2 linked regions of the Callithrix jacchus genome follow. The protein of the gene in region 2 interacts with the protein of the main gene of each other region in a biochemical or structural test. Links are inferred from orthologs where the notes say so. Each region holds a gene or a part of one and is shown on either strand. Other genes may lie near its edges.

The links.
Region 1: the proteins of PTPN11 (region 2) and PECAM1 form a complex in vitro, tested with the Homo sapiens proteins (4 studies listed by BioGRID, with this or other methods). The link is inferred for Callithrix jacchus from reciprocal best matches to the Homo sapiens genes PTPN11 and PECAM1.

Annotation. Positions count from the first base shown.
Region 1 is NC_133506.1:89,659,365-89,663,850, forward strand, and holds the start of PECAM1 (platelet endothelial cell adhesion molecule), read right to left. Parts: upstream 2,911-4,486; 5' UTR 2,415-2,910; intron 1-2,414. UniProt on the Homo sapiens protein: Cell adhesion molecule which is required for leukocyte transendothelial migration (TEM) under most inflammatory conditions.
Region 2 is NC_133510.1:115,442,949-115,446,758, reverse strand, and holds part of PTPN11 (tyrosine-protein phosphatase non-receptor type 11), read right to left. Parts: intron 313-3,810; coding exon 146-312; intron 1-145. UniProt on the Homo sapiens protein: Acts downstream of various receptor and cytoplasmic protein tyrosine kinases to participate in the signal transduction from the cell surface to the nucleus. Positively regulates MAPK signal transduction pathway. Dephosphorylates GAB1, ARHGAP35 and EGFR.

The sequences.
Region 1 (4,486 bases), on a different chromosome or scaffold from region 2:
AAAGTGAGCACACATCTGGGCCTGCGGATGGATACCTCCCAAATGTCAAGGACGTGCTTTAATTAGGGCTTTTTAAAAATGGACCAGTTGCAGTCAGTGCTATGGCTTATGCCTGTAATCCCAGCACTTTTGGGAGGCTGAGGCGGGAGGATCAGTTGAGCCGAGGAGTTCAAGACCCTCCTGGGACACATAGTGAGACCCCATCTCTACGTAACATTTTTTTAAATTAGCCAGGCATGGGGTACATGCCTGTGGTCCCAGCTACTTGGGAGGCTGAGGTGGGAGGATTGCTTGAGCCAGAGGTGGAGGCTACAGTGAGCCATGATTGGGCCATAGCACCCCGTCCAGAGTGACAGAGTGAGACCTGGTCTCAAAAACAAAACAAATGAATAAACAAAAGCCAGAAAATTTGGTTGTGATGGTATACTGTAGTTTTGCAAAATGTTACCATTGGGAAATTGGTACATATCTCTGTATTATTTACTATAAATGCATGCAAATTTACTATTATCTCAATAAAAATATTTATATTTTAAAATTGGGGCTGGGTGCTATGGCTCACACCTGTAATCCCACCACTTTGGGAGGCTGAGGCAGGCGGATCACTTGAGGTCAGGAGTTTGAGACCAGCCTGGCCAACATGGTGAAACCCTGGCTCTACTAAAAATACAAAAATTAGCTGGGCGTGATGGCACACGCCAGTGGTCCCAGCTACTCAGGAGGCTGAGGCAGGAGCATTGCTTGAATGCGGGAGATGGAGATTGCAGTGAGCCAAGATCGTGCCACTGCACTCCAGCCTGAGTGATAGAGCAAGACTCAGTCTCAAAAAAAAAAAACCCGCAAAAACAAAACCATAGACTTTCACATTGCTCTAATTCTAAAGAACGTTTCCATGTTATTTAGAATGTGGAAGGAACTTGGAAATTTTCTGAGGATAAGAGGGAGGAAACATACTCCAAATAAGGGGAAATTCTAAATGGAAAACAAACAGGAACATTTTGCACCTAGAAAAGATCTTGGGGCCGGGCACCGTATCTCAAGCCTGTAATCCCAGCACTTTGGGAGGCCGAGGTGGGCAGATCACCTGAGGTTGGGAGTTCGAGACCAGCCTGACCAACATGGAGAAACCCCATTTCTATTTAAAAAAAAAAGATCTTGGATATTCAGGGAGGTAAAGGGAATTTCTGTACATTATTATGAGATGCATTGACAAGCCTCAGTTCCTAAATGAAATGTTATTCTCCCAGGTCATTTTAAGGCCAGTTTCCCCAGAAAACTACTCTTAGATGAACCCCTCTAAGAGACAGATGGGCAAGTAGGAGGTGCTCTTAGCTTCCTCTCTTCCATCCCCCATAAGATGAGACCTACAGAAGAATTCCTTAGGTCAACATACAGAGAATGACCCTGAGGCCCTGAGATTAGCCGTATCTTATCTGTGTGGCCAGCAAGGGGGCTGCTGGGCCTGGCAGAGTCTCAGGACTTCCTGGCCAGAGAGCTTCCTTTGTTGTCCCTGGAATCCCCCCTTGCCCTATGTCCTTGAGTCTAGGCCCTGGCTCAGGTATATGTGATGCTATGCTCAGGGTGCTCTAATCCAGGCACTGGCCTCTAAGGAATGGTTACTGAGGGCCAGACCAAGTCCAGTAGAGCCAGCTCTCAAAAGTCCAGTAGAGCCTCACCAGGCTTGAGCAGTGAATGAGCATATGTGATGGGAGAGCATATGCAGTGAGTGGGTATATGCAGTGAGTAGATAAGTGAGTGAACATATCTATGGGTGGGCATCTGCAGTGAGTGGGTATATGCAGAGGACAGGCATGTGTAATGGGCAGGCATATTAAATGGGTGGGCATATGCAGTGGATGGGTATATGTCATGGGTGGGCATGCGCAATGGGTGAGCACCTGCAGCAAGTGGGCTGTCACAGGAGACTTTGTTCACACTAAGGGACTCTGAGTTTCCGTTTTCTGCTGCCTAATGCAATGCTACCTGTGATTGCCTGTAAAACCTTTTTTTTTTTTGAGATGGAGTTTCACTTTTGTCACCCAGGCTGCAGTGCCATGGCACGATCTTGGCTCACCGCAACCTCCGACTCCCGGGTTTAAGCTATTCTCTTGCCTCAGCCTCCAGAGTAGCTGGGGCTACAGGCATGCACCACCAAGCCCAGCTAATTTTTGTATTTTTAATAGGCGGGGTTTCTCCATGTTGGTAAGGCTGTTCTGGAACTCCCGACCTCAGGTGATCCACCAGGCTCAGCCCCCAAAGTTCTGGGATTACAGGCATCAGCCACTGCACCCGGCCTGTAAACCCATGTTTAACCCGCAGCTAGGGAAGCTGAAGGGAGAGGAACTGCAGGGCCACCAGCTCAGCCACCGCCGCATTGTTCTCCCCGACATTGTTCTGAGGCCGGCTTTGCTTACCCAGAAGGCCCCCATGACCCCTGGGGAATCCGATGAGATTGTTTTTCCCAAGCCTGGGCTCTTCAGGTGTGAGCGGCAGTTCTTGGGCCACGTAGGTTACTGTGGCATTTCTGCAGCAGGAAAGAGGAAGGAACTTCTGATCTGAACGGCAACAGCATCAACAATGTGCACTCCCAGCAGCCGGCAGCGCGAAGAGGAAAGGAGCTCGGTTTCCATAGCGATAAATCACCAGGAAGGGGGCCCGGAGGGAGCGGCAATAGGACTTCCCCCTTCCCCGGGCCCTGAAAACACATCCCCAACGCCGCAGTCGGTTAGCGGCCTGGCACCTCTCCAGGCTGAGTCTCCAGAACCGCAGGTAGAGGAAGACTGCAGGTAGAGGAAGGGGCTCTGCCAAATTGAAAACAAATTCCCAGCTCCTTTTCAAGGTGTCAGTAAAGCGTGGGTGCCTGAGCGGATGCAGCGGGGGCCCAGGGCTGTGAAGCTCTCAGCGCCTGCCAGCTACAGTATTCCATTCCATTCTCTTATATTCTGCCCTCCACCCCACAGCACGGGTGCTGCTAGCCCTTTTAGCACAGAACAAACAGGCCTTGTGAGGGAGAGAGATGCACCAGACGCAATTCACCTCGTTAACAATTGCCCCTTGAAGGCCCCAGAGCTCTCTTTTGAGATTCTTTCTCTTGCCAAAATCACACTATTTTTTCCAAAGAAAGCAGTTTTTTTTGAAATGCTCTGGAATGTCACTTATCCCAAGGCTCATCAGCCACTTTTGTTTGTTTGTTTTGCATAGAATGTTGAGAATGTGGTCACCTAATGTTAATAATGCTTATTTCATCTCCATACTTTTAATGCATTGCTTGATTTTTTTTTTTTTTTGAGATGGAGTTTTGCTCTGTCACTGAGGTTGGAGTGCAGTGACACGATTTCGGCTCACTGCAGCCTCCACCTTCTGGGTTCAAGCGATTCTCCTGCCTCAGCCTCCTGAGTAGTTGGGATTACAGGCACACACCACCTGGCTAATTTTTGTATTTTTAGTAGAGACAGGGTTTTACCATGTTGGTCAGGCTGGTCTCGAACTCCTGATCTTGTGATCTGCTTGCCTCAGCCTCTCAAAGTGCTGGGATTACAGGCGTGAGCCACCACGCCTAGCCCAGCCTCTCCTTATGCAGGTCACGGTCTCTTGCCTATAACCTTTGCATGTACTGTTCCCTCTGCTTGAAGTGCTGTTCCCTGCTTCCTTGGTCAGCTAACTCCTCAGGGGACTTGTCTCATCCCTTTTTCCCAGTAGCTCAGATGCCTTGCTTTCTGGGCTCCCACAGAACGTACACCATATTGTGAAGCAACACAGAGTAATAGTAGGAGAAAAGTCTCTTCTAGGCCCAGACTAGTTGTGTGACCTCAGGGGACTGTTTAACCTCTCTGAGCCTTGATTTCTCATAGGCAAGATATAGAGAATGATAGAATCTGCTTCACACTATGTCCATGAGGATTGGACATTAACAAATGTAAAGCATCTAGAAAATGCTTGCCTGGGCACATCACCTGAGTTCCGGAGTTTGAGACCAGCCTGACCAACATGGAGAAACCCCATCTCTACTAAAAATAAAAAATTAGCTGGGCATGGTGATGCATGCCTGTAATCCCAGCTGCTTGAGAGACTGAGGCAGGAAAATCGCTTGAACCCAGCAGGCAAAGGTTGCGGTGAGCCGAGATCGTGCCATTGCACTCCAGCCTGGGCAACAAAAGCAAAACTCCGTCTCAGAAAAAAAAAAAAAAAAGAAAATGCCTGCCTGTGGCTAGTGCTCTAGAAACATTAATCACTGAAGAATTAAGTTCTTAAAGCAGGAGCCATCCTTCATGGATATCTCTAGATCTCCAGGCTTAGGCCCAACTGGGTGTGGAGCAAAGGTCACTCTGGGTTCATGGGAGACTATTTTCCAGTTACCGTTTAGGCACCAGTCTCGGTGCTAGGCACCTTAATTCATAATATTTAATTTAGTTAAGTAATTCCAGGACTGGCCCCAGGTAACGAAGGACGAGCATTTTGTCAAGGAAGCCCAAAGCATTCTTGAATG
Region 2 (3,810 bases):
TCAGTGCAGGTGCTCTATGCCTCAAACAGGTATTAAATTCTTCCTACAGTTAAAGAGCTGGGGGGTGGTGGGTAGGTAAAAGCAAGCCCTTGGTGCTAGGAGACAGGGACAGGCTGTGGCATAGAGGGGCGGCAGGGGCTGTCACCTGCAGTGCACCACGACTGGCCCTGCATCCATGATGCTCTCCTGCTTATGGTGCACCTCCTCCAGGAAGTCCAGCACACCCCCAGGGTCGCTGGGCACTCCGTGGTCCGGCCAGGTCCGAAAGTGGTATTGCCAGACCGTTCTCTCCGTATTCCCCTGGAGTAGAGCCAAGAAAAACCAGAAAAGAATTAAATAAATCAAGAGGTCGAGGAATCATCCAGTTCTTAGCTTTCCTAAATCCACTGTGAGCCAATGAAGAAGAGAATCTCCCCATGTTCCACTGAAAGGTCCTCTTCATGAGGTTCCCAGAACTTGTCTCAATTTGGGCAATCCTGGAGGCAACCTTTGCCTCTGTCGTAAGAACCAAGGTGTCTGGCATGGCAATTCATTCTTTCAGGTAACTACACCCTGAATCATCTCTCTGAATCATCAGTGACAGGTAACATCCCTGTTCCTCTGTATCCCTGTGGTGTTCAGCTCTGGAGGTAACTGAGACCTCTAGGGACCCAGGTCTCTCCTCCCAGCAGGGGAGAAAGCAGATGAGGAAACAGCCATTCGCTTAAGACATTCATTCCTCTTGGTCATCTTTTCATACCCAACCTTCCCCACCATATAAACACACACTTTTTTTTTTTTTCCAAGACAGTCTTGCTCTATCGCTCAGGCTGGAGTGCAGTGGTGCCATCTTGGCTCACTGCAACCTCCACCTCCTGGGTTCAAGCGATTCTCCTGCCTCAGCCTCCCAAGTAACTGGAATTACAGGCATGTGCCACCACACCCAGCTAATTTTTGTATTTTTAGTAGAGATGGGGTTTTGCCATGTTGGCAAGGCTGATCTCGAACTCCTGACCTCAGGTGATCTGCCTGCCTCAGCCTCCCAAAGTGCTGAGCCACCAAGCCTAGCCAGTATTGTTCTATATTAAACTTGTATTTAATGCAAAGAAGATAAGAAAACAGGCTTTGCCATCAGATGACTAGATTTAGGCTCCAATTCCAGGCACTCACAGTCATGTGGCCCTTGGATATGTCTAAACCTCAATTTCTTCCCTTGTGAAGTAGGAATAATAATCTCTCTCTCTCTCAAAATGCAATTGTAAGGACTCAATGAGCTTGCTGCAACAGTCAGCCTCTGCCCAGCAAACACTAGGAGACTCAGCACATTGCAGCTATTTTGAGGATAAAAATAATTAATAAAGATAAACAATAGCACCAAGGCTACAGAAGACCGAAAAGTATCATGTTTCTGGGTTTAACCAGATTACATAACTGTAGCAGCACAATTCATTGCTATATCTTCTTCCTGTATGTGTGGAGACAATCTAAGCTAAGTAACTTTTTTTTTTGAGACAAAGTCTCACTCTGTCATCCAGGCTGGTGTGCAGTGGCCTTAGCTCACTGTAACCTCCACTTCCTGGGTTCAAGAGATTCTTGTGCCTCAGACTCCAAAGTAGCTGGGATTACAGGCGTGTGCTACTACATCCAGCTAATTTTTCTATTTTCAGTAGAGACAGGGTTTTGCCATGTTGGCCAGGCTGGTCTTGTACTCCTGACCTCAAGTGATCTGCCAGCCTTGGCCTCTCAAAGTGCAGGGATTACAGGCATGAGCCACTTTGCCCAGCCTTAAGTGTCATTTTTAAAAGGGATTTAATAGGACACTTTTTACTTTTTTCTTTCTTCCTCTTCTTCTTCTTCTTTTTTTTTTTTTTTTTTTTTGAGATGGAGTTTCACTCTTGTTACCCAAGCTGGAGTGCAATGGCGCAATCTCGGCTCACTGCAACCTCCGCCTCCTGGGTTCAGGCAATTCTCCTGGCTCAGCCTCCTGAGTAGCTGGGATTACAGGCATGCGCCACCATGCCCAGCTAATTTTTTTTTTTGTATTTTTAGTAGAGACGAGGTTTCACCATGTTGACCAGGATGGTCTCGATCTGTTGACCTCGTGATCCACTGCCTCGGCCTCCCAAAGTGCTGGGATTACAGGCTTGAGCCACCACGCCCAGCCCTCTTCTTTTTTATAAGAGACAGAATCTCACTCTGTTGCCAAGGCTGGGGTGCAGTGGCACAATCGCAGCTCACTGCAACCCTGAACTCCTGAGCTAACGTGATCCTCTTGGCTCAGCCTCCCAAAGTGCTGGGATCACAGGCATAACCCACGGCGTTCAGTCCCCCATTTCTACTTGACAGCTACATTGTTCCAGTTCCTCTCACAATCTCTACCATAGCTTCAGCCTCTGCCCCTCCCCATCATCAGTAGGACTGCACCCTCTCTGACATCAGAAATCCAAACATCCCACCCTGGGCCACAACTACACTGGCTCCCAGCTCCTTCTAGTCTCTCTGTCACTTCCGGTAGCCTCCAGATCACTGAGCCCTCCCTCCACTTTCCACCTGTCTCCTCCTGCCCCTGTCCCCCTCATCCAGCCAGGAGTCCCCATGCTGTGGGGACAGTCACTTTCTACCGTGTGCCTCCACTTCCTGACCTCTCCATCCACTGCACCTATGCAAATCCCAGGCCTGGGCGAACCACATACTCTCTGTTTTGTGCCCTAGGAGCCAAGTGTCCTTGGAGAAAAACCAGGTGGTGGATATCAGTATATTTTCATGTTCACCACCTCAGCTGGGCACTTGGCACAGCACAAAAATTTCTGGACTTCTTGCTCTGCTACACAATTATGATTTCATTCTTTTCTCCCTTTCTTCAAATATTCAAATATCTCTTCTTATTCCCTTTGACTGTCTGTTGATGGCCTTGCCTCAAGCTTCGGAGAGGATAGGGAAAATAATCGCTCTTAGCTCACCTACTGGCATCTGTGGCCACCTTCTCCTCTTGCCCTTCATTGCCACAGGAAAAAATGTGCCTCCATCAAGCAAAAACTCCATCCACAACGCGTCCCACCTCTCCTCCTCATCCCACCTCCACCCTTGCCTCCCTGACAGCTCCATTTCAATGTGTCCAAGGCATCTCAAACTTAGTGTGTCCACAAAGAGGTCCCTGCTGATCCTTCCAGCTTCCTCAAGTCCACTGCCCTTCACCCTGCCTTCTCAGGCTAGAAAACCACCAGTCATCCTGCATGCCAGCCTCGCCCTTGGTACACTCCATCATTAAATCCCTGCCAGGCTAACTGCCTCCAGTTAGCTCTACTGGGTCCTCTTCTTTCTGGCACCCCTGCCACTGGCCTAGTTCAAGCCCTATCATCTTTCACTCTGACAACTGCAGTACCTCCTAATCAGTCCTATCCCTAGACCCACTTTTCCTCGCTCCAGTCTCTACAGGGTGGAGGGGAATCTCTTAAAAGCTTAAATCCAACTATGGCTGCTTACTATACTTAGGATAACCTCCCCCAACCTCCTTTGCCAACTCAAATACATTGTTTCCTATGCCTTAAGAACCTCCCTTCCAGCTGGGCGCACTGGGCGCAGTGGTTCATGCCTGTAATCCCAGCACTTTGGGAGGCCGAGGCAGGCAGATCACAAGGTCAGGAGTTCGAGACCAGCATGACCAACATGGTGAAACCCCATCCTTACTAAATATACAAAAATAAGCTAGGCATGGTGACACACGCCTGTAATCCCAGCTACTCAGGATGCTGAGGCAGGATAATCACTGGAACTCGGGAGGCAGAGGTTGCAGAAAGACAAGATCATGCCACTGTACTCCAGCCTGAGTGA